Oryctolagus cuniculus: one gene and its partners. The protein of the gene in region 1 interacts with the protein of each later gene in a pairwise test. Links are inferred from orthologs where the notes say so. Each region holds a gene or a part of one and is shown on either strand. Other genes may lie near its edges. The genes, in order: ERLIN1, FA2H and AGR3.

Region 1 (8,200 bases):
CTCTGGCAGAATTTTCCACTTACCAACAGATTGAACATTGAACCTTTCCCAGTGCATCTGGATTCAAACATTAGCTATGAAATGTTTTCTTTCTCAAATACTTCAATTCTAAGATACAAAAGGAAATGACTACTCTGATAGTTCAATTTTGGGGCCTGGAGCTGTCCTGTGCTTACTCCCAGCAGCTCTCCTGAGGTTTGCTTCTGGGACCACTAGTACTCTGACGAATTGTGTCTGAAGTATTGATGCTGTTTTTTTCCTCCCTAGACAACACTACAAACTGATGAAGTTAAAAATGTGCCTTGTGGAACGAGGTAAGTTTTCTCCTTGCTTAGTAATCTCCTATTAGCTCAGATGGAGCTTCTGCTCAAGTGTGTTGATCACTGAACATCTTTCAAATAGGAATGAAAGTAACCCAGAGAAGTTTATGATCTGAGCATTGTTAGCAAAGACCCATCTCTAAAATACAAGCTTTCCGTCTTAGTAGCCATAAGGGTGTTACTGAAAAATGCATGAAGTTTTAGAGCCTGATGATCTCGCTTCGTATACTTTATTGTTCAGAGAAATAGTAAAATTGAGCAGAAAGTACAGAGGTCTCATTTAACCCTTTGTCTTTACTGACTTTTCTAAGGTTAGTTTCCTCATTTGTAAAAATTGAGTAATGTAAGATCTGTCTTACAGAGTTACTTTTTTAAGGATTAGAATTAATGTATATGATGTGGTTAGCCCAGCACTTGGCCTAGAGCAGGTGTTCAGTGAAAGGTAGTTTAAAATTATGTCATCTCACGTTCTCCTGTATAGTAGTAAATGCCATCCGATGTTAGAGTTTCTGATTTGGTAGGTCTGGATGAGGCCTGAGAATTTGTGTTTCTTATATAAATTCCCAGCATTTTTGCTGTTGTTCTAAAGACCTCACTTTTAAGGTTGCTGACCTAGAGAAAGAAAGGCAAGCAAGGTCGAGGTTATTTCTAGAACATAATCACCATATTGAATTGTATCAAAATAATATGAAGCAGACCTGGTGTTTTGAGTTAATATATTTGATTATTAGTTTCTTCATAGGGCTATCTGTACCTCTCTTTTATGGATTCCTTTAATGGCTCACACTTTCTCCTGTCTTTGTTTTTAGTGGTGGAGTCATGATCTATATTGACCGAATAGAAGTGGTTAATATGTTGGCTCCTTATGCAGGTATGTTAGTACTTATAGCTTATGGTATGTTACTTATAGCTATAACCAGATTCTTTCTAACTAGAAGATTCCCCGGAAAATAGAAAAGTACTTTTAAAGTTTATTTAGAGAATAATTACTAGAATATTTTCTATTTCTAGGAAACGGAGACAGAAATAGGTCACAAATTGTGGGCAACAGACTGCAACCATATGAATTACTCTTCTCCGAGCTTAGTGTTTCCAAGAGCCAGATTATTGATTATTGATTATTTCTGGAATGAGATAGTAGCATTTTATCCAGTCAGGATGAGAGATCATTTCCTTCTGTGCTAAAAATCTATAAATAATCTCTTCCTTGGGCCACAGTGATTTGTCAAAAGAATCTTTTCTAATTGGTATTTGCTGTAAGTTGCAAAGCAATCTGAAAGTCTTCAGTGAGAGGAAAGCATTTTCTTGGTAAAAGATGAAAGTCCACGGCCGGCACTGTGGCTCAATAGGCTAATCCTCCGCCTTGCAGTGCCGGCACACCAGGTTCTAGTCCTGGTCGGGGCGCCGGATTCTGTCCTGGTTGCCCCTCTTCCAGGCCAGCTCTCTGCTATGGCCCGGGAGTACAGTGGAGGATGGCCCAAGTGCTTGGGCCCTGCACCCGCATGGGAGACCAGGAAAAAGCACCTGGCTCCTGGCTTTGGATCAGCGCAATGCGCCGGCCGTGACGGCCATTGGAGGGTGAACCAACGGCAAAAGGAAGACCTTTCTCTCTGTCTCTCTCTCTCTCACTGTTCACTCTGCCTGGAAAAAAAAAAAAAAAAAGTCCACAGACCTAGAATGGGTACTATTTAAATCAAGAACTTAGATCACCGTGAATAAAACTGAAAATATTTCAGAGCAGAGAACATATATATTCTGGTCAAAGGGATTTTGATCATGTTTTTCAGAGATTAAGTATTTCCCTCATTTTTTTTTCACCTATTTTTGCTCATCACAAATGATTGGAATAGATGATTGGAAATAGAAGAAGGGAGGGAATTTATGGGTCTGTAAGCAGAGATAAATAGGAAACTCTGAAATCACCAATTCATTTGGAAAATGCCCAAAGAATGTCAGTGTCTGTTAATGGTCTATCATCAGTTGTGATCTGGAATCCGTTTGCATGTAGTATCTGGTATGGGAAGGCTGTGAAGCAAGTCGCTGGGTCTGAAGAAACAGAACGCAAGTTTTGTAGGTAGAGCATAGTTTCTGATATGACTTGGTATGTACCTTTTGAGACATTTCTGAGGTTCTTTTAGGAAATCTTAGTTTGCTAATATGTAAGATGAGATTTTTGGCAGGTATATTACATGCTAATGTATATAAATTGTCTGACCTAAAGCTTAGCCCAGTATTAGTTCCTTTCCCTTCTAACCTGGTGTCTTTTTATAGTCTTTAAAAACTGCCTTTTAAAAATACAGTCTTTTGGCCGGTGCCGTGGCTCAATAGGTTGATCCTCCGCCTTGCGGCGCCGGCACACCGGGTTCTAGTCCCAATCAGGGCGCCGGATTCTGTCCTGGTTGCCCCTCTTCTAGGCCAGCTCTCTGCTGTGGCCAGGGAGTGCAGTGGAGGATGGCCCAAGTGCTTGGGCCCTGCACCCCATGGGAGACCAGGATAAGTACCTGGCTCCTGCCATCGGATCAGCGCGGTGCGCCAGCCGCTGCACACCGGCCGCGGCGGCCACTGGAAGTTGAACCAACGGCAAAAGGAAGACCTTTCTCTCTGTCTCTCTCTCTCTCTTTCTGTCCACTCTGCCTGTCAAAAAAAAAAAAAAAAAAAAAGTCTTTTACAGCTGCTTCCTTCTTTTATCTCCACTGTTCCTTAATTAGTTCACTTCCTCTTTACTTCTTACCTAAGCTTTTACTTTACACTAATTGTCTTAGATTCTCCCTGTGTGCCTCTGAACTCTGTGCCTCTCAGTTCATCTTCACAAAGACACCAAAATAAAAATTTTGTTTGCTCTTCTTAGTATGGAATTTGAGGTTTATCTATTAGTACTGCAAGCAAATGCAAGGATATCTGGAAAATTGAGCAGAAGAAACACATCAAAATTTTTGAGTTGTGTTTTATGTTTTCATAATGTGTATGAGGGATTTCAAAAACTTCATTGAAAGTTAGAATTGTGAAATTCATAGTATGCATTTTCCATGAACTTTTTGAAGCCCTTTGGTTTATTACTTTAATATTTATCCTGAATCTGAGAAACCTGGGTGCTTTTGGGTGAAACAAACCTGGGTTGTACCTCTCCTTCAGTGTTTGATATCGTGAGGAACTACACTGCAGATTATGATAAGACCTTAATCTTCAATAAAATCCACCATGAGCTGAACCAGTTTTGCAGTGCCCACACACTTCAAGAAGTTTACATTGAATTGTTTGGTAAGTAATAGCCTATTGGATATCTTGTAAAACTCATTTATCAATGCTGTAGTAGTATACCTTATGCTATGATAATTTCTTTTGAGTTTATAATAAAGCAATTATATAACTTGGTAGAGATTAGAGTAACTTCATTTACTCACTGTGTTGTGTTATGTTAACTTAATGACATTAGCTTTATTACTACTTAGTAGATAATTTGAGGAAATTTAGTTTCTGGGCTCCCCAAATTCCCCCTTCTCCCCCTACACCAAGTAATTTCGTAGGAAGACTGACAAGACTCAGCATAAAGTTATATTCATGACTACAATTTATTACACCCAAAAGATGAAAAGTGAAATCAGCAAAAAGAAAAGGCATATAGGTAAAGTCTGAAGGAAACCAGACACAGGCTTCCAAGAGTCCTCTCACAGTGAAGTCAACACAGGTTGTATTGAATTCTCCTGGTAACAAGTTGTGACAACACATGGGAAATGTTGTCTACTGAGGAAGTTCATTAAAGACTCAGTCTTGGCCGGTGCCGTGGCTCAATAGGCTAATCCTCCGCCTGCGGCGCCGGCACACCGGGTTCTAGTCCTAGTCCCGGTTGGGGAGCCGGATTCTGTCCCGGTTGCCCCTCTTCCAGGCCAGCTCTCTGCTGTGTCCCTGGAGTGCAGTGGAGGATGGCCCAAGTGCCTGGGCCCTGCACCCACATGAGAGACCAGGAGAGGCACCTGGCTCCTGCCATCGGATCAGCGCGGTGTGCTGGCCGCAGCAGCCATTGGAGGGTGAACCAACAGCAAAAGGAAGACCTTTCTCTCTGTCTCTCTCACTGTCCACTCTGCCTGTAAAAAAAAAAAAAAAAAAAAAAAAAAACTCAGTGTTGGGGCTGGCCCTGTGACATGGGGCCCGTGTTGTGACATAGCAGGTAAAGCCACTGCCTGCAGTGCCCGAATCTCATATGGGCACTGGTTCAAGTCCCAGATGCTCCACTTCCAATCCAACTCTCTGCTATGGCCTGGGAAAGCAGTAGAAGATGGCCCAAGTCCTTGGGCCCCTGCATCTGCATGGGAGGACCTGGAGGAAGCTCCTGGCTCCTGATTTGGATTGGCGCAGCTCCAGCCATTTTGGCCATCTGGCAAGTAAACCAGCAGATGAAAGACCTCTCCCTCTCTCTCTGTCTCTCTTTCCCTCCCTGTGTAACTCTGACTTTCAAATAAATAAATAAATCTTTAAAAAAAACAAGACTCAGTGCTGTGAGTGTTGTTGAGGTCTGGTCACATAGGTGTACCCTCTGCCAACCGATACTAAAATTCCTGTCTCCCAGGAGAAAAGCAGATGTTCAGGGTAAACCACATTGTTTATGTCAATGGTTTAGGGACCGTGAGCTTCTTGTATCAATTCAGGGGATGCCAGGGACCCTCCCCAAATCCAGGTTCCCAGCTGCCAACTAAGGGCCAGTTAACAAATAGGCCTTTGTAAGTAAGGACTGCAGTCTCAGGTCTTCGCATGAACTCTGCTGCATCACGTGAAGAGATGACATTATTACTGTACATTCTGTGTGTGTTTCAGAGACTTTTCTATGAACTTTTTTCCTTTCTTTTAAAATCCAAAGGTAAATGTAAGATTGAGGTGTGTGGGAATGAAATTTAGTTGTTTGGAAATCTGAATTAACATTGACTTAAGAGAGAAATTTGCTTTTTTATGAGAATCAGATTGCGCATTAAGTAGTAGCCGTGAATTAATAAACAAGAGACCCAAATTCTCCATTTATGGGATAGATAGATTCTATACAGTAAGCTTTTTTATTAAGTCTAATATTAAACTTTTCTAATAAATAAAAAAGAACATTTGGCAAAAAAAAATTATCTAATAAATAACTTGTCCAAAGTTCAATAATAAGCTTATTGGATAAACAGACTAGTTACTTGTTGATGGAACAAAGACATAAGCCTCAGCCATTCTTGCTCATTGCCCAAAAGATGGATAAACATTGGAATTTATTCCTTGTCCTTGAATCTCACTTGGATTTCACATCTTACTGCCTTCATACTCCATCCCCACATTCTTTTCCAGATTCCCAAGGCCCCTGAAAGACCAGTTCCATGAATTCACCTCTGCCTGCTACCCCCACCCCCAACTCCATCCCTGTCCCTCCTAAGCTATAAAAGGGCCCATCCCCTGGGGCCAGGGCATTCTGCTACATGTTCTATCAGTGTGCACACCGGCAGCTGGTCACATGACCCATCTCTGTGTATTTATTTTCTCTGAGTAAATTCGGTCAGGCTGTAGATTCATATACTGCCTCCTCTCTATTCTGCACCTCTTTTCCTGACACTTGTCATCTTCTTCCTTAATTTCTTTAATAGATCACCACACTTTTCTCCTACACAAAAGGAAAATACATATATGAAGCAGTTTAAGCTCTACTAAAAGATAATACTATTGAACTTTAGGACTAATACTTAGGTTATTGGATCGTGCCTTTGCTTTGGCTTTAATGTGTTGTGAGAAAAATTGAGTATCATGAGATCTTTTCTTCTTGGCTTTGAAAACAGATCAAATAGATGAAAACCTGAAACAAGCTCTACAGAAAGATTTAAACGTCATGGCCCCAGGTCTCACCATACAGGTAAGCACTCTTCCAAGGGAACTTGTCGGCAATTTTGAGGGTTTTGAGTTTAATCCTCCTATCATATTTAAAATACTGAAGTGCTATGGTAATTTGTAGAATACTTTTCTCAATTTGACTTTAGGTTTCCACAAAAATAAAATACTCTTGTAGCTTATTAATGGCACTTTCTTGTGAATACTTAGAGAAAATTGATAAACTGAGGCTCTTAGAAAAAATAGAATTCTTATTTCTGCCTTTGTGATACATTATTTAAATACTGTGATGGTTATAAATCAGTATAAGAGTAATCCTTGCCCTCAGTTTATGAAAAAAGACTTGAAATCTAAGAGTTGAACAATAATTCTAGACAAAATAAATATCACAAAGTTTCAGTTGCCAAATGAATTCACAGGGTGGTTATTGCTGTAAGAGACCATTTCTGTGTGGTCTGGGAAGGTTGTGACTGTGTTAAGATTTTAGGTAGGTATGGAAAAGTTCATTGAAAATTCTGTGAGAGGACTGAGAACTGGGTATTTCAGTGGGTGGATGGCCTGAGTAGCAGTTGGACTTAATAGTGAGTGTGGCAGTAGTATGTGGAGATAGAATAGTAAGAGATTACACCCTTTTCTGAATCATTGTGTTTTCAGATTTGGGGTTGAAATCCATTAATGGGTTGTGATTGAAATCCATTAATGGGTTGTAAAATCATTTTTAGTAGGTCATGACCAGCATTTTAAATAGAATGGAATAGAATAGGAAAAGAAATGGCATGTAGTAAGTTTAAGTAACTCGTGAAACTTTAAGTATATGGGGGTGGTATTTATATTGGTGTCAAAACAAACGTGTTTCTTACTGTCATCATGGGCAGTACTTTTTGAAAGCCACTACTGTGGATCTGGAGTGCCTGAAAAGTGGTAAGCCGACTTCTCTAGTGTCCCATTTCAGAGACTGCGGTAGATGAGTTGATTGTTGTGGTGAATATTGCTGCAGCTTCCTGGGGTGTCACATGTGTCTCAGTTCTTTGTGGTCAGTGGCACCGCTGTTGACCGTGTACATTCACTGTGTGTGATCATGCTTGCTTCTCATAAACCACCCTGGAATGATGGGTGAATTTTCTCCTGTGGCCTCATTCATGCTGTGCTGTTATCTAAAGAATGCCTGAGGGGAAACTGCCAAAGTTAAAGGGTCATTTGAAATGTCTGAAAGGAATCTTCTTGATGTCTAGTCACTTGTTACTGGAGTAGTTTTTTAATTTTGAAGGTAGTGAATGTGAATGTCAGAGATTCATAGATTCTTTACAGGTTCTTACTTGGAGATCTAACTCATTTTAATGGCTGTGTAGAATTCCTTGATATTCCCTGTCCTGATTTTTTGCTGTTAGTAAACAATAATGTAATGAATAATCATACATTTCCTTGTTTGTACAGATTTTCTCAAAATGGCCATACAAAGTTTATATTTTTACCTTCAGTATGTGCAAATACTTGTTTGCCCACACAACCTTATGAGCTTTGGGACCAATCACATGTGCTTATTTTTGCCATATGGATAGGTGTGAAGTTACACAAGTAGCTGTCTTTGATTTGCATTTCCTTGATTATCAGTGAAGTTGAACAGTGTGATATTTTTATTGATCATTTAAACTCAATTTTTAAAAAAGATTTATTTATTTGATTCGAAAGGTAGAGAGAGGGAGGAGGAGGTCTTCCATCTGCTCATTCATTCCCCAGTTGGTCACAACTGGGGAGCCAAGAGCTTCCTCAGGGTCTCCTGTGTGGGTGCAGGGACCCAAGGACTTGGGCCATCTTCTACTGCTTTCCCAGACCATTGCTTAGAGCTGGATTGGAAGTACAGCAGGTGGTACTTGAACCGGCATGGGATGCCGGCTTTGCAGGCGGCGGATTTACCTGCTACGCCACAGCACTGGCCCCCATTTATACTCTATTCTGTCAGTTCCTATTCAAAATCTTTACCAATTTATCTGCTGGATTGTTAATTTTCTTGATTTGTTGTAGTTCTATATGTTTTG
Region 2 (7,890 bases), on another chromosome or scaffold:
GGCGTTTATTACATCCACCACCTCTGCATCTAAAACACGCCCATCACCTCCAGAGCAAACCCTGGAGCCCCCATTTCTCCCTCTTCCCTGGAGATGCTCAGTGCAGGTGGCCATGCAGGGCTGAGGTGGACACAGATGTGCAGGAAAGCATCGTGGAGGGTGTGGTGGTCGCCAGGGATGGAGCAGAGAAGATGGAGGATCAAGGCTTGGACCCTGGGGACAGAGGCAGAGTTTCTACCATGAAGCCTAAGAGGAAGTGTCCAGCCAAGAGGAGAAAACGTGGGCCCCGCAGGCAGGGGTGGAACAGTGTGTGCTCGTCATTGACCCCAGCCCCTTTTAGACTCTGAGAAGCTGTGGACTCTCTCCCCAGGAAAATGCACACAGGTGCATAATAGTGTGGTCACTTCAGTAGGTTCCAGAACACCCTAAAATCCAGCTTCGGAGCCCCTGATGTTCGTAAGGCTCAGGTGGGGATCCAATGCATAGTCAGGCATTTGACCTAATGATCAGGCCCACCTTCCACATCCGTGTGCTGGGCTTTGATCCCTGACTCTGGCTACTGATTTAAGCTTTCTGCTGATATACACCCTGGGCGGCAGCAGCAATGGCTCAAATAGTTGGATTCTCTCCACGAACTGAGTTTCTACCACCAAATGCCAACTACATTACCAGCTCCCAGCTTTGGCCCAGCCCAACCCCCACTGTTGCAGGCATTTGGGGAGTGAACCAGCAGTGGGAGTTCTCTGTCTTCCTCGCATAAATAATATTCTAATTAGAAGAAGAAGAATGCATGCTGTTACAGATTCAAGAAGAGAGTGGTCACTAATGTCACATGGCCCAGCCAAGTGGGAGAAGGATCAGAAAATTACTTTGATTTAGCAGAAATACATCATGAATGGCCTTTGCAATTCTGGAAAACAGGGCAGAAGGCAGTTTTTAGGGACTTGATAAGGCCTCAGGAACCAGTGAGGTGGAGGTGCGAGTCTGGCCCAGCTGTCAGTAGGTGAAGTGAAAGATGAGCAGAGGGGGCTGTGCCCAGAGACTTGGCTGGCATGGAGGCGGCTGCCTAGTAGGGTGACCCTGGCAAGTGGTGACGGCCGCCTGTTCCTCCACACCCGCCTCGCGGAGGCAGTGCCAGCGCACCCTCACATAAGGGTGTGGTGACAGAACGTAGAACCACCGAAGTGCGGCATTGGGCCACCTGTGTCTGCCGCCATGTCTTTTCCTGATCACCCATGGCCTGGAGCCTGCCTGGGTCACGCCTCCCCAGGAAGCAACAAGGATGCCCCAGGTGGACAGAGGAGGAAGGGAGGACTGGAGGCGACAGCTCGCCCCGCCCTGCCCCACAATAGGCCTGTCTTCTCCGTGAAGCGGAGGCTGCGTGGAAGGGGGGAGGGTGTCTGAGGGCGGAGAGGAGTGGTAGATGCTGAAGGACCACCAGGCAGGGCTTGGGGTCTTGCTGAAGTTGAACACACCAGCAGCTGGCCAAGCCGCCTGGGTACGAGATGGAGTGGCAGACTCTGGTGCTGATCGAGGCCTGGGGTGAATGGAACCAGGGAAGGAGGAAAGATCCAAGGAGAATCACTGGCTTTGGAAACCAGCCCAGCAGCTGCTCCCAAGCTGAACCACATAGGTGCCTGTCAAAAAAAAAAAAAAAAAAAAGTCTGCCGGCGCCGTGGCTCACTAGGCTAATCCTCCGCCTAGCGGCGCCGGCACACCGGATTCTGTCCCGGTTGCCCCTCTTCCAGGCCAGCTCTCTGCTGTGGCCAGGGAGTGCAGTGGAGGATGGCCCAAGTGCTTGGGCCCTGCACCCCATGGGAGACCAGGATAAGCACCTGGCTCCTGCCATCCGATCAGCGTGGTGCGCCGGCCGCAGCGCGCCGGCCGCGGCGGCCATTGGAGGGTGAACCAACGGCAAAGGAAGACCTTTCTCTCTGTCTCTCTCTCTCACTGTCCACTCTGCCTGTCAAAAAATAAAATAAATAAAAAAATAAATGTCCTAACCATGACCGTGGTGGTGACTGCACAACTCTAAGACTCCAAACCACGGATCGTGCTTCATACGATGAGCTGCATGCTCACATGTCATGTTTCAATAAAGCTGCTACCTAAAAAGAGAAAGCATGGCCCAAGCAATGGTTTGTGGAGAAAGGAAAAGCTAAGAGGGTGAGGATGGAAATGGAGGAGACAGGTGTGAGAGGTGAAGTTCCCAGGAGGCCAAAGAATGAGCCAAGTGGAGGAATGACACAGAGCTGCAGGGACCACAGGGGTCATGGGGGGTGGGGGGACTGGAGAGTGGGCCCCTTGCCCTTGACGGTCCGTCTCCAGGCTGGCCTCATCTGCTACTTCCAGATCTCCCCCAGCTGCTTCTCCCTAACACCCCTGTCCTTGGCTCTTCCTGTCCTCTGGCCCTGCAGGCTCTGAGCGATGTCTTTCATCCGTAGCCCCTGACCCCACCGGCTCAGCTGCTGGTCCCCTTCCCCTCCTGCAGCTCTACCCACCCCCCCAGGGAAAAGAGCAGCTCTCTCCTAAACCACAACAGACCCTCTCGGCCTCCTTCCCGTTCTGCCCCAACGACAGGGCCAGGACGCCACAGGTGCTGGACAGAGGGCAGCCACTCCCACGCTGCCCCGGGTGATGAAACAGGGACGTTTGGAGCCGCCAGGCAGGCGCTGCTGCACCCGGGACCCGCTGGCCCTGACCCTGCCTGCCCCCCTCTCTGCCGCCCCTGCAGAGTACTCGGTGGCGGTGCCCGAGTCCGCGTTCCCCGGCCTCTTCGTGCTGGGCATGTTCCTGTGGAGCCTCATTGAGTACCTCATCCACCGCTTCCTGTTCCACATGAAGCCCCCCAGCGACAGCTACTGCCTCATCACGCTGCACTTCGTGCTGCACGGCCAGCACCACAAGGTGGGTGTGGCCGTGGGGTGGGACATCGGCAAACCCGAGGCATCGGAGGCTGCACAGGGGGGAGACGGGCCCAGGCATCCTAATCTGAGCAAGACGGGACAGTGAGTGAGTGAGTATGTGTGTGCACATGTGTGCATAAGCATGCATGTAAATGCTGTGCGTGTGTGTACATATGTGTGCACGTGTGCCTCTGCGTCACCCTCCATGAGCCTCGTGAATCTGCACAGCTCATTCACTCATTCATTCTGCAAGTGTTCTGAGGCTGAATGCCTACCATGTGCCAAGCATCAGTGACCCAAGCAGGCGAAGCACCTGCAGTTTTCCCCAATTCCACAGAGCAGGAAGTAGGCCAGGGGGAATTAATGTACTAAGGGACTCACCCAGGGTCAGGCAGGCACAACCAGCACGCTGTCCCCCACCATGTGGCTGCTCTCACCAGCACCCGCTGGCCCTGGGAGTATCAGCCCAGAGGTGGGACTGGAAGCCAGGTCGGCCCCAGGGAGCTACCTCCCCCTGGCAGCTTTGCTGTGCCTGCACAGTGCTGTCCTCGGCCTGGCCCAGGGGCCCCTTCGCCGCCATCTCCTCCAAGGCAGGGCCTTCCCCCACTTTCTCTTCTCTGCTGGGGTGGGCTGCCCTCCTGTTCTTCCCAGTGCTGAGCTGTGTTCTGGGAGTCTCACGTGGCAGCCTGTATCTGGGTGAACATCCAGTCCTGGGCCAGCCTGGCTCTAAGAGGTGCCACGGCCAGTGTCCTCTTTCTAGGCTGACGCCAGCCCATCGGGCCTCTGCTGTCCAGGCCCTGTCCCTCACCCCCCTCACGACATCTCAGATCTATCGCTCCCTATTGGTCAACTTTCCCATCTTCAGGGGACAAACGGACCCTCTGGGGGCTGGAGGGACTGTCTCGGGCTCTCTCTTCCAAGACATTTCCACCTCAGTACACGCAGTCCCGTCATGGCACAGCACAAGGACAGGAGGAGCTTGTGTGGCCCACCGCCACCTCCTCAGATACCCAAGCCTTTGTGTCTAGGGGTCTGTGGCCTGGGCTCATGCCTAATTTGACCCTGGCCACGTCAGGAGTGTTTACACTGCAGGAATCGGCAAACGCTGCTGACCTGGGCGCCCTCATCCTCCCTCCTGCTTTTTATCCCTTCTGCCCCCAGCCTGCCTGCCTTTGTCTGAGCACTGCTTCCCTGCACAGCACTGGCCCTGTTGCCATGGTTTGAGGAAGGGAGGCCCACACCTGCGGATCTCTGTTGGCAACACCTGCTTTGTCCCTGCACAGAGGGCCTTGTGTGGGGAGGTGGCGGTGCAAACCACATCTCTGCACAACACTTCCGGGAACACCCTCCCAGATCGCAGGCCTCAGGCTAGGCCCCCTGTCTCCAGAAAGCCCCTTGAGCCTTCCTGTCTGGCACCAGGGCCCACGTGGTCCCTTGAGTTCCAGGTGGGCCCTGAGCCATCAGCACACCTGCATCCGCTCCCTCCCACGTCACACCTGGCCCTGTGTTCCTGGATCGGGCAATCTCTCCAGGGCTTTGGACTTGGGTGGCCTGCCCTTCCCAAAGCCACCAAACACGCCAGGCCCACCCAAGACAGGTCCCTGTCCCCTCACTGGAAACATTCGGGCTGCTCCACGCTCATCTTGGGGAGCGTCTCCAGTGAGGCACGCTGCGACCCCGAGCCAGCGCCACCTCTGACACTCGGGCCTCTCCATCCACAGGCACCCTTCGACGGCTCCCGCCTGGTCTTTCCCCCCGTGCCGGCCTCTCTGGTGATCGCCTTTTTCTACGTGTTGTTGCGGCTCATCCTGCCCGAGGCGGTGGGGGGCACGATGTTCGCTGGGGGCCTCCTGGGCTATGTCCTCTACGACATGACCCATTACTACCTGCACTTTGGCTCGCCGAACAAGGGCTCCTACCTGTACAGCATGAAGGCGCACCACGTCAAGCACCACTTTGCACATCAGAAGTCAGGTGAGACAGGCTGGAGCCTCCCCGCCTCCCCTGTTGGCCCGGGATCGACTGGACAACAGCTGTTGAATCCCTGCGAAGGGCCAGGCGTTGTCTTCGGTGCTGGGGCACACACAGAGCTTCCTCCATCCTGCTCACGGGTGCAGGTGGCTGTGCAGAGACAGACAAGGAACAGAAATGCCATTAAAGGAAAATAAAGCAAGGTGATACTTGAGTAACCCTGGGTGGGGGGAGGGGGCCCAGCACTGCCCATTAAAATGCAGTCATGCACCACACAACAAGATTGTGGTGGTCAGCCGTGGACCCTGGATACAGCAGTGGTCGTGTAGGACTATAGCACTTCATCTCATTACAGCTGCCTTAGTTTGTGTAAGTACACCGATGTTCTCACCATGATGGAACTGCCCAGCAAGACATTTCTCAAAACACATCCCCACCAAGTGACAGGTGATAGCTGTACTATGCAGGCCGCATAGATGATTTTAAACTTTCTAGTGGCCACATTAAAAGTAAAAAACAAACAGGCATTTGGCTTTGCAGTTAAGCCACTGGTTAGGATGCCCACATCCCACCTGAGAGTACCTGGGTTTAACACGCAACTCCAGCTCTGACTCCACATTTGTGTTAATGCAGCTCCTAGCAGGCAGCAGTGATGGTTCAAGTAATTGGGTTCCTGCCACCCATGTGGGAGACCTGGATTGAGTTCCCAGCTTCTGACCTAGGCTCTGACCCAGCCCCAACTGTTGCAATCATTTGGGGAATGAATTGGTAAATAGACTATCTCTCTGTGTCTGTCTCTCTCTCTTCCTCTCAAATAAATAAATAACTTTATAGTAAAAAGATAGAACTGAAAATCATTTTTTTAATTTATGGGGCAGAGAGCTCCCTTCTGCTAATCCATTCCTCAAATGCCCACAATAGATGGGGCTGGGCCAGAGCCAAAGCTAGAAGCCAGACTTCCCATGTGGGCACCAGGGACTCAATTATTTGAGCCATGACTTCTGCCTCCCAGGGTCTGCACTAACAGGGAGCTGGAACAGGAGCCTGGAATGAAAACCACACACTGCTATAGAACATGGGACTTAAAAAAATGTATTTATTTATTTGAGAGGCAGAGTTACAGACAGAGAAAGAGATTTTCCATCTGCTGGTTCACTCCCCAAATGGCCACAGAGGCCAGAGCTGAGCCAATCCAAAGCCAGGAGCCAAGAGTTTCCTCTGGGTCTCCCACATGGGTGCAGGGGCCCAAGCACTTGGGCCATCTTCCACTGCCTTCCCAGGCCATAGCAGAGAGCTGGATCGGAAGAGGAGCAGCCAGGACTCTAACTGGCACCAAATGGGGTGCTGGTGTGGGCTTAACCTACTATACCACAGCGCCGGCCCCAGCACATGGGTCTTAAATGCCTGGTCCTAAAAAGCATTTTAATAAAGTATCCATTTAATCAAATATAACCAACATACTATTCTAACATGTAACTGACATAAAACACTGGTAATGGGATATCTTACATTCTTTCTCTTAGACAAAGTCTTTTTTTTTTAAATATATTTATTTACTTGAAAGTCAGAGTTACACCGAGAGAGAAGGAGAGACACACACAGAGAGAGAGAGAGAGGGAGAGAGACAGACAGACAGACAGACAGAGGGGTCTTCCATCCACTTGTGCACTTCCCAGATGGCCGCCATGGCCGGAGCTGCACCAATCCAAAGCCAGGAGCCGTGAGCTTCTTCTGGGTCTCCCACGTGGGTGTAGGGGCCCAAGGACTTGGGCCATCTTCTACTGCTTTCCTAGGCCATAGCAGAGAGCTGGATGGGAAGTGGAGCAGCTAGATCTCGAACCGGTGACCATATGGGATGCTGGTGCTGCAGGCAGCGGCTTTACCAGCTATGCCACAGCGCCAGCCCCTAGACAAAGTCTTTGAAATTCAGGGTCTATTTTGCCCTGACATTACATCTCAATTTAATTGCTGCATTTTCACTGGAAATACTTGATCTGTATCTAGGATTCATAAAACTGAAAATCTAAAAGTAGACTCACATACGTAAGTTGCCCCAGACATGCCTCAACGTTTTCTAGTAGCCGAACTGTCCGTGTTTGCACTGAAACTTAATGAAGTGAAAGCAATAGTTCCGCGGTGAGTGCAGGCACATTTCCAGTACACAGAAGCCACGTGCTGGGCAGCAAAGCTCTAGAAAAACGGCCCAGGAAGGGGGCACTGCAGAGCTGCCAGCAGAGCTAAGAACCACAAGAAGAAAAGCCGGTGTCCCCAATGTGTGGCCAGCGTGGCCCCAGGAGGCAGCAGCTCTGGGGCAGGGGTGAACTGTGAGGACCCGGAAGAGGCTGGAGGTGGGAGAGAGGGAAGCAGGCAGGCTGGGGCTGTCCCAGGATCCCAGGTCAGATAAGCAACCTGGGTTAGTTCCCACCACGCCCTGGGGACACAGGAAAGGCAGGTGCTGGGCCGGGCCTCTGCCAGGATGGCCCCAGGGCCTAGAAAGGCTGGCTTGTGCCCTCCTGGCTCACTCCCCGAGCACGCTGACCCGGCTCCTATTGCACTGCCTCACCTTCTCCCCGTCTGTCTCCCTGTGCAGGCTTCGGCATCAGCACTAAATTATGGGATTACTTTTTCCACACCCTCATCCCAGAGGAACCCCATGCGAAGACACAGTGACAACTCCCAGCACCGCCCCTCACCTGTCCTCAGCCCCGCCCTGGCCCCTGCTCCCCCACCCCCATCCAAACTCTGCTACAGAGCTTGGCTGGGCCAGGCAGCATGGCCTTGTCCCACCCTGGGGCTTGGTAGAAGGTGCCAAGGAGACCCTGAGGCCAGACTGCCTTCCTGGCCACCCCGGGAGGGTCACACACGGGCCTGGTCTCCACGCTGGCGGCCTAGCAGGGAGCCCCAGCCCATGGGACTGTTGGCAGGACCAGCCAAGGGCAGCAGCCCCCAGGGGAATGATGGAAACTGACCCCAGAGCCAGCCCCATGGCCCCCAGCGCCTCAGCACCTCCAGC
Region 3 (8,200 bases), on another chromosome or scaffold:
CCATGAAGAATGGGATGGGAGAGGGAGTAGGAGATGGGATGGTTTGCAGGTGGGAGGGTGGTTATGGGGGGAAAACCGCTACAATCCAAAAGTTGTACTTTCAAAATTTATTTATTAAATAAAAGATTTCTTAAAAAAAAGTTGTGCTGCAATCATTTTTGGACATTTTCATTACCTAAGAAAACCCCTGTGGCCTTTAGCTATCATGCCCCCCAATCCCAGATCTCTTCTTCTTCCTCGATCCTATATACCATCGATTTGCTAACTGTGCACAGTTTGTATACATGGAATCATTTGCTATGTGATATTTTGTCACTGGATTATTTCAATTAGCATAACGTTCTTAAGATTCATCCATGTTGTGGCATGCATTAGTATTTAATTCCTTTTTGATGATTAAATATCATTGCATTATATTGCTATACCCCGTTTTACTAATCCTTTCATCAGTTGATGGGCCTTTGGGTTGTTTCCATTTTTTGGCTTTTTTTAATGCGTAATGCTGCTGTGATCCTAAGTGTGCAAGCTTTGGTGTGGGTATACACACAGGAGCAAAACTGCTGAATTGAACTGCCAGACTGTTTTTCCCAAGGTGGCTGCATCATTCCACATTCACACCAGCAATGTTGCCGGTTTGTTTTTGCCTGCTTTGAAACTCTTAACATTGGAAGGCTCTTTCATGTTCATGTTCATCTAACACCTCATCTTAGCAGAAACTTCATCTTTGTCCTAATCTTGATTCTCTTCCAACTCTGCTTCCCACATTCATTACACATCAAAGGAACGCTGTTCTAGAACAGCAGGTGTGATTATGCCCCTGCTTAATTTTCCCTCTTCTGTTGCTGCAAACATCACTCAATGCTGGAGTGTCAGCAATGGGCAGAACTTACATTGTGTATTCCTATTCAACATGGGTCCACAAACATCAAAGAGTGTCTGCTTACTTTACTGGGCACTGCGAATACAAACGTTAAGTAATATAATCCAACCCTCAAAGAATCACTCACAGCCCCATCAGCAGCTGTGTTCTAGTCTACTTGTTTTGATATGTTCTGTCTCGTAGTCATAATAGGGCAAAGGGCACTCAGAAGTTGAGGTCCTCTCGGGATCTCTGTTCATTGCTTTTAATCCCACCTGTAAACTGTCTTTGCTTTCTTTGCCTTCTGAGGTTTCATTCACTCCTGTAATACGTGTTATTGAGTATGTCAGGCAATGCACTGGGTGCTGGGCGGCTGTCTTGATTCAAAAGAAGTAAGACATTTTTTGAGTCATTGTATGTACCTGTGCTTTTGTTTCTTGAACCATCTATTGCCTTGATCCAATTAATTATCTTGTTTTTCGCCTTACTGTCTGTTTATTTAGCTGCTTACTGCTGCCCTCTGCTTTCAGGGGCTCCAAGTGCTACTTCGCATCCTGTACCCACATCCTTCCCTCTTCCCCTTTTAACCCTCATTCATTCTGAGCCTTTTCTCTTGGTTTCCTAAATGGCAATAGATGGCAACAAGCAAAACTACATAGAAGCCAAGTTTTAACAATGGGGTTCTCAGTTATTATCACATCCTTGCTATCAAAATAGTTCATTAATAATTGTAATAGGAGATCCATTAAGTTGTATGCATATGCTGTTTCTGTTTAATATATTTTTCATAACATTCACCAAAAAATTTTAAGCCGACATTTAAAAGTGAGCACAGAGCATGTTGACGTCTTATGGTAGGTGCAGGTGTAGCAACGTGGCTTCTCTCAGTCCTGGAAGCTCATCAGAGTCAATGCCTAGTTTAGTCTTTGCCACTAAAGTGTTACTTGACCAGGGCCGGTGCTGTGGCACAGTGGGTTAAAGCCCTAGTCTGCAGTGCTGGCTTCCCATATGGCTGCTGGTTTGAGTCCTGGCTGCTCCACGTCCGATCCAGCTCTCTGCTATGGCCTGGGAAAGGGGTAGAGGATGGCCCAAGTCTTTGGGCCCCTGTACCCCTTTGGGAAACCTGGGGGAGGTTCCTGGCTCCTGGCTTCAGATCCACACAGCTCTGGCTGTTGTGGCCAACTGGGGAGTGGGCCAGTGGATGGAAGACACCTCCTCTCTCTCTCTTTCTCTCTCTGTGTAACACTGACTTTCAAATACATAAATAAATCTTTTAAAAAAAATTACTTGACCTCTCTGTTCTATTATCTTTATGTCTATATAGAGGGATATATAATAAATTACATTTCTCCCTTTCAATTGATTTCCTTGGCAAAAAGTTACTGAGTCTCTAGTATATAGTTGCTGTGATTGCTAAACTGAAGTAGAATGAGTTATCAGGTAAACCCCAGTAGGCATTTGGCTGGCACCCAGTACATCTGTTAAGAAATGAGTGGACTTGATAAGCAAATAAATGTTTTAGAATTTGAAATCATACCACAGGAGGTCTTCATTTCCTCGCTCTATTCATGTGATCTTTCCAAACAGTGCTCAAGTGCTCTTGTAGTTGAACTGCTGATTTTGAATTCCCCGAGTGAGGATAGATGGTTCTAACTTACCAGGAAATTGTAGAAACCAGTTTTGGGAATTTTTCCCTTATAAAAATGTCTATTTATACCTGAAGTTATGTTTGTTTCTTAAGCCAAGAAAAACATCACAGAAAGAAAAATGTTTTCTAATCCCAAAGCCAATGATAAATCCAGCTTATGACACCCAAAACCGGTGCATGTGTCTTTGGGAATCAATATAGCAAGACTGGCCTAAATTCTCAGGAATTTGGATAAAGTTTAATTTTTTGGGTAACTTTGTATAAAATCAGTCCAAATTATTTTCTTAATAAGCAGGACTTGGAATTTGAGTACATTTCGAAGAATTTAGGTATTTTTAAGATATTATGATGATATACCCATCAATCATATTAATCATTCTCTACGACTCTGGTTATCATAGTTGTAGAGAGGAATTCAGTTCTCCACTACTTTTGCTAAAAGATACGACATGTATTTTTTTTTTTTAAATTTTAGATTTTTTTTGAGAGACAGAGACAGGAACAGAGCTCCCATCTGTTGATTCCCTACCCAAATGTCTGCAACAGCTGGGCCTGAGCCAAGCCAAAACCAGGAGCTGGTAACTTATTCCAGGTCTCCCACGTTAGTGGCAGTGACTGAATTACTTCAGCCATCATGGCCTTCTCCCAGGGCACATGTTAGCAGAAAGCTGGAGATGAGAGCAAGAGGTGGGTTTTGAACCCAGGCATTCCAATGTGGGATATAGGCCAAATGCTTGGCCCAGGAAATTGTTGTTATTTTTTCCCAGTTGGTTTAATTCACTGTCAAAACTCAATGGATCCTTCCTGTTTGTCTTTAAAAATCACCTTTGGAGCCACACAATAGAAATCTTTCAGTTAATTGAATTTGCTTCATAACTAGAGTATGGGTGAAGATATCAAGTATTTTTCAAACAATGCAAATGATTGAGTTTAGGAAATGACATAAAGAATACCATACCTCTTGAGAGTGTCTGAGGAGGCCTCTTTCCCTTTTTGATGGCAATAGCAAGGTTAGAAGAGATGGTGATAAGGAGGAGGCAGAGAGCCAAAGCATAGTGTAACATGGTGCCTTCTAGAACGTTCCTCGGGAGAAGCTGGAGGACAGAAGATAATGTTCAGGACCTTACTGGGTTACTTCAGGCCATGTTAAAAGACATTTACTTAGAGCTGGTCCCAGCCTGTGTGGATGAATCATTCTGCTTCCTTAATCTGACTCAGTCTACCCACCCTTTCATCCAGGTTTTATTCTTTTTTCTTTCTTTCTTTTCTTTTCTTTTCTGACAGGTAGAGTAGACAGTGCAAGAGAGAGACAGAGAGAAAGGTCTTCCTTTCATTGGTTCACCCCCCCAAATGGCTGTCATGGCCGGCGTGCTGTGTGGATCCAAAGCCAGGAGCCAGGTGCTTCCTCCTGGTCTCCCATGTGGGCACAGGACCCAAGCACCTGGGCCATCCTCCACTGCACTCCTGGGCCACAGCAGAGAGCTGGACAGGAAGAGGAGCAACCGGGACAGAATCCGTGCCCCAACTGGGATTAGAACCCAGGATACTGGCACTGCAGGTGGGGGATTAGCCTAGTGAGCCATGGTGCCAGCCCCAGGTTTTATTCTTAATAAATATCTTAGAAGTGGAATCAACTCTGTGAATGCTCACTTGGTGAAAAATCACATTCTGGGCATCCTGCACATAGGGTGAGGCAACTAAGAGAGAACTGGATCCAGGTGTTAGGTAGGAAGTCAGATATGAGCTTATGTGTGTGACAAAGGCCTAAGGAGAATTTGGGTTCAACATATGCATCTCAAAGCCATCCCAATAATGTTTCAGGGGCAGCCCAGTGTTTGCATCCTGCCCTGCTCCTTCTACCCAATAACCTGCCAGGTGGGGGTCCCCGCCCCTTCTGCCTGATAATCTTCCAGATGCAGCCCAGTATCTGCATTTCAAATACCCTGCTCAGATCCTCCAGGGGGTCTTGCTCACCCTTCCTCTAAACCCAGGGTGGCACCAGCTAGGCTTCCTCTTGTTTGATAACTTCTGGGAGAAAACTCAGATAGGAATTTCTAGTATTTACACCCATAAAGTCTTTTGTTTCAGGAGGAGATGTGAGAAGACAAAGACCCATCTCCTTAAAAACCCCTGGCCTCAACTGGACTGCGCGCTCAGCCCTCTGCCTCTCTGCTGAGCCGCCCACCTGGCCTGGTCAGGTGTCTTCTCCACTCAACCATGGAACCTCGCTCTCCCCCAGTCTAAGTGACTGGGCACTCTCTCTCAGGTTCTGTCTGGAGAGGTGCCCATCTGTTCTTACGGATATCCCTACCCTAATAAACCTTGCTATTTTACTTTCCACCACTCTGTCTCATGCCTGAATTCTTTCTTGTGCGAAGACAAGAACCCTGCCATTCACTGGTAACACAGGCACATGAAACCTGCTGCCAAACTGCACAGCCCCACAGAGAAACGCGAACAAGATGGTGTTTGTTAATGGCCTTGGAATTGTAAAGAGCGATACAAAGGTGAGGTCTACCAGCCAGGGATAGCCTTTGCCTCTTGATTCTTCTAGACCCAGTGATTAAAACAACATTTTAACTCTGTATCATGCTGAGGCTAAGCATGAACAAAGACTGCTTGAAACAGGAATCAGGGGAAAGTTAGACCACGAAGAGTCCTTGTCCTTCAATTCCTTTATGGTCAGTCACTCCAATGGTCACTCAGCCCCTCTGCCCTTCACCTCTTTTCCAAAAATCAAACATTGGCATATTGCTGTGACTTAAACATATGTATATAGAATAGAGTGGAGTTCATATTTTTTGTTAGCTAACATTACAATTGATTCTAAAGTTAGTGTGCTTTTCTTTTTTATACTTTGCATGGTAAGATTTAATCAAAAGTCCAGAGTGTGGCCTGAGTTGGTCTTAAACCACTTGGTAAATGCATTACAAAGTATGTTCCATACTTGTGAGATGTTGTTTAGTTACAGTATTCTTAGCATATAAATCCCACATGCAATTCTGAAACTTCATCTCAAAGTAGGAAATAAATGATGGACAGTTGTCCTTCAGGTTTATTTAAAGTTCCTTTACAGTTTTTTTCCCCCCTGATGATTTATGTTATTCAGTGGTGAACGTCTCACTAAAATAGTGCAATTTCCTGGCTGAAGTACAGTGAATGACTCTTCAGTGATTGGTCATACATAGAAGTTTCTGCAGTGAGCTGTGTTAGTCACTGTACAAAACTGAAACTCTAAGCAGGCCCAGTGCTTTGGCATTGGTAAAACCAGTGGCACTTGCCATAGTGTAGTCAGGTAAACAACAACTGTAGTCATGGAGAGCAGCAGTGTGGTGGTGGTGAGGTTTACAGAGGATGGGTTTTTCCAGACAGTTCCGCATTCCTCTGGTGCCAGTGTGTGCCTCTTCTCAGTGGGGTGTCTCTTCCAGCCCAGCTCTGGACTGAAAGGGTTGTCACTCCAGGTTTGCTGAATTTAAATGATTTGCCTCCAGAATCTACAACTAACTCCTTTTGTTCTACTTTCTTGTCTTTGCCCACTAAACAATTCTGTTAAACAGTAACCATGGTGCCAGATAAAGATCTCAATTCAAGTTCTTATAACTTGTTAAACCATAAAACATTGCAGAATATCTTCCTGTACCCCGAGGGCTGGTCATCTTGTACCTTAAAGATTGAATCCAAGCAAGGGTGGATTCCAGTAGGGCTGAGAGACAGCTGAGTCTGAACACAGAGCCAAGCCTGGGCAGGGACCTTGGTCAAGGTGTAAGTGGCAGTGGACAGAATGAAGGGACCCCCTGGGACAGCCTGTTCACCTGGATCCAGTGAGCTTCTAGAAGGTCTGTGGATGGCTACAGGAAGCTCAAAACTCCCTGAAACTGTATGTATGGGTGTGTGTGCCTCTGTTCACTTTCCTAGGGAAAATGGTCCCACATTGCCTTAAGTTTCTTATACGTAAAGAAGACTCAGGGAACACCCAACTGCGGGAAGTACTGGCAATGTTTTCCACGTTAGAGGTGGAGATAAGCAGGTGGAATCTACATTAGAAAGTGTAACTCCCTCTCTTGCCATTTTAAAGCTGCCAAATTTAGAGGTGAATGGGAAACTTTTTTTTTCTTTCAAATGTCAAGTATTTATGTATTACCAAAGACTTTCTGCTTAACTCAAAATCTTAGTTTTCTGTTTTACATGGTTGGTAAATTAAAATAGACTACAACAAAGCGCTACAACTTGCCCATTGTTGGTTTTGAATGAACAGTGCTTTCCTTGGTGAAGTGGAATGTGGGTGACTGAGGGTGCTTTAGTCCCCATTGCAAAGGCAAGCTTCTTTGAAGGGGGTACAGGGATGAAGGGGGTACAGGGATGAAGGAGACTTGGTCATGATGCCACAGCAGGTTACAGCACAATTTGCCTTTATAAACATTGTCCAGTTAGCATTTTCTTACAATAATAGCATTTTGCATTTCAAAATAATTCAACACAAGCCACTTACTTAAATATTGTATTAAAAATCTCTATATTTAAAACACACATACACACACACATACACACAAAGGATAGTGGGAAGAACCAGTGTTCCCTATAGACTAATTTTTAAAGAGTCATTTTTGGTTGATGCCAGTTTATATTCTAACATCCGTATAAATAGAGAATAAAACTGTGAGGCCAGCAAAGGAAATTCAGTCCAGTAAGAGAAGAAAAACACAGTTCCATTCACTTTCCCCACCCTTTCCTGAAAGCCTCATTTTTAAACAGCAAAAGTTGATCATTTAAACATAGCGGAGGTTGAGCACTGATTATATAATCTGGAGACGTTGCTTGCTTACCTGTCCTGGCCCGTGCTCCTGTCAGAAATGTTTTCTGGATGTTTCTGGTTAAAAACGGGTGTGGATTTATAGACACCTGCACACATACGCACCTGACTGACCTACAACCCCACCTGCCTAGGTACAATCGCATAGTCACCTGCAGACTTGCACAAATAGGCTTGTCCGAAAAACTCTGTCCTACCAAGTCGCATGCTTCTCACACTGAAAAGGCTCTTCTGTTTCTCTAAATCAAGACTGAGTGTCCTCATGAAATCAGGCCAAATAATACCATCTTTAGGATCCTTTCTCCTCTGCTTTTGGCTTCCCAGGCTAATTTAATGTTTGGCTGGAGTTCAACACCGAGAGGGGAAAAAAGGAAGAAAAGAACAGGGAATGAATGTGGTCCCTGTGTGTGCCCCATTGTTCTTGAGAGATCCTGAGGCCTGCAGATTAGATGAAAAGCAGAGAGAAATTCCTAGGGGTTACTCTGTTTACAGGAATATAATTAACAACTGAAGAGATTAGCAACCACTCCTTTTTTTTTTTTTTTTTTAAAGAGAAAGAGCGAACCGGAGACAGAGAGGGAAATAAAAAATGAAAATACTGTTTTAAAATTCAACACTTTTGTAACTGGATTATTATTCCCGATCTTTCTATAAAACCTTTACCCTACAATGCCAAAAAAAAAAAAAAAAAAAAAAAAACCAGGAAGACAGGCAATTAGATAAGTTTGTCTATAATAGAAACTATTTAATAGCTAATTAAATTAACTAATATAATCACTGCTAAAATGGTCTAGGGCATGGGTCACCAAATCTGATCCACTTGGTTTTGCACAGACTAGAAACTAAGAATGAGTTTAACATTTTTATCATTATTAAATGGCTG

Evidence for each region.
Region 2: the proteins of ERLIN1 (region 1) and FA2H interact in binary tests that used the Homo sapiens proteins (3 or more experiments, as listed by UniProt). The two-hybrid records come from large-scale screens. The link is inferred for Oryctolagus cuniculus from reciprocal best matches to the Homo sapiens genes ERLIN1 and FA2H.
Region 3: the proteins of ERLIN1 (region 1) and AGR3 interact in binary tests that used the Homo sapiens proteins (3 or more experiments, as listed by UniProt). The two-hybrid records come from large-scale screens. The link is inferred for Oryctolagus cuniculus from reciprocal best matches to the Homo sapiens genes ERLIN1 and AGR3.

What each region holds. Positions count from the first base shown.
Region 1 is NC_091446.1:29,938,483-29,946,682, forward strand, and holds part of ERLIN1 (erlin-1), read left to right. Parts: intron 1-267; coding exon 268-314; intron 315-1,129; coding exon 1,130-1,191; intron 1,192-3,452; coding exon 3,453-3,578; intron 3,579-6,115; coding exon 6,116-6,189; intron 6,190-8,200. UniProt on the Homo sapiens protein: Component of the ERLIN1/ERLIN2 complex which mediates the endoplasmic reticulum-associated degradation (ERAD) of inositol 1,4,5-trisphosphate receptors (IP3Rs).
Region 2 is NC_091449.1:57,268,572-57,276,461, reverse strand, and holds part of FA2H (fatty acid 2-hydroxylase), read left to right. Parts: exon of another isoform or gene 1-213; intron 214-2,734; coding exon 2,735-2,907; intron 2,908-4,627; coding exon 4,628-4,880; exon of another isoform or gene 4,881-5,027; intron 5,028-7,467; coding exon 7,468-7,547; 3' UTR 7,548-7,890. UniProt on the Homo sapiens protein: Catalyzes the hydroxylation of free fatty acids at the C-2 position to produce 2-hydroxy fatty acids, which are building blocks of sphingolipids and glycosphingolipids common in neural tissue and epidermis.
Region 3 is NC_091447.1:8,507,407-8,515,606, forward strand, and holds part of AGR3 (anterior gradient protein 3), read right to left. Parts: intron 7,592-8,200; exon of another isoform or gene 7,331-7,591; intron 6,385-7,330; exon of another isoform or gene 6,143-6,384; intron 3,602-6,142; 5' UTR 3,572-3,601; coding exon 3,466-3,571; intron 1-3,465. UniProt on the Homo sapiens protein: Required for calcium-mediated regulation of ciliary beat frequency and mucociliary clearance in the airway. Might be involved in the regulation of intracellular calcium in tracheal epithelial cells.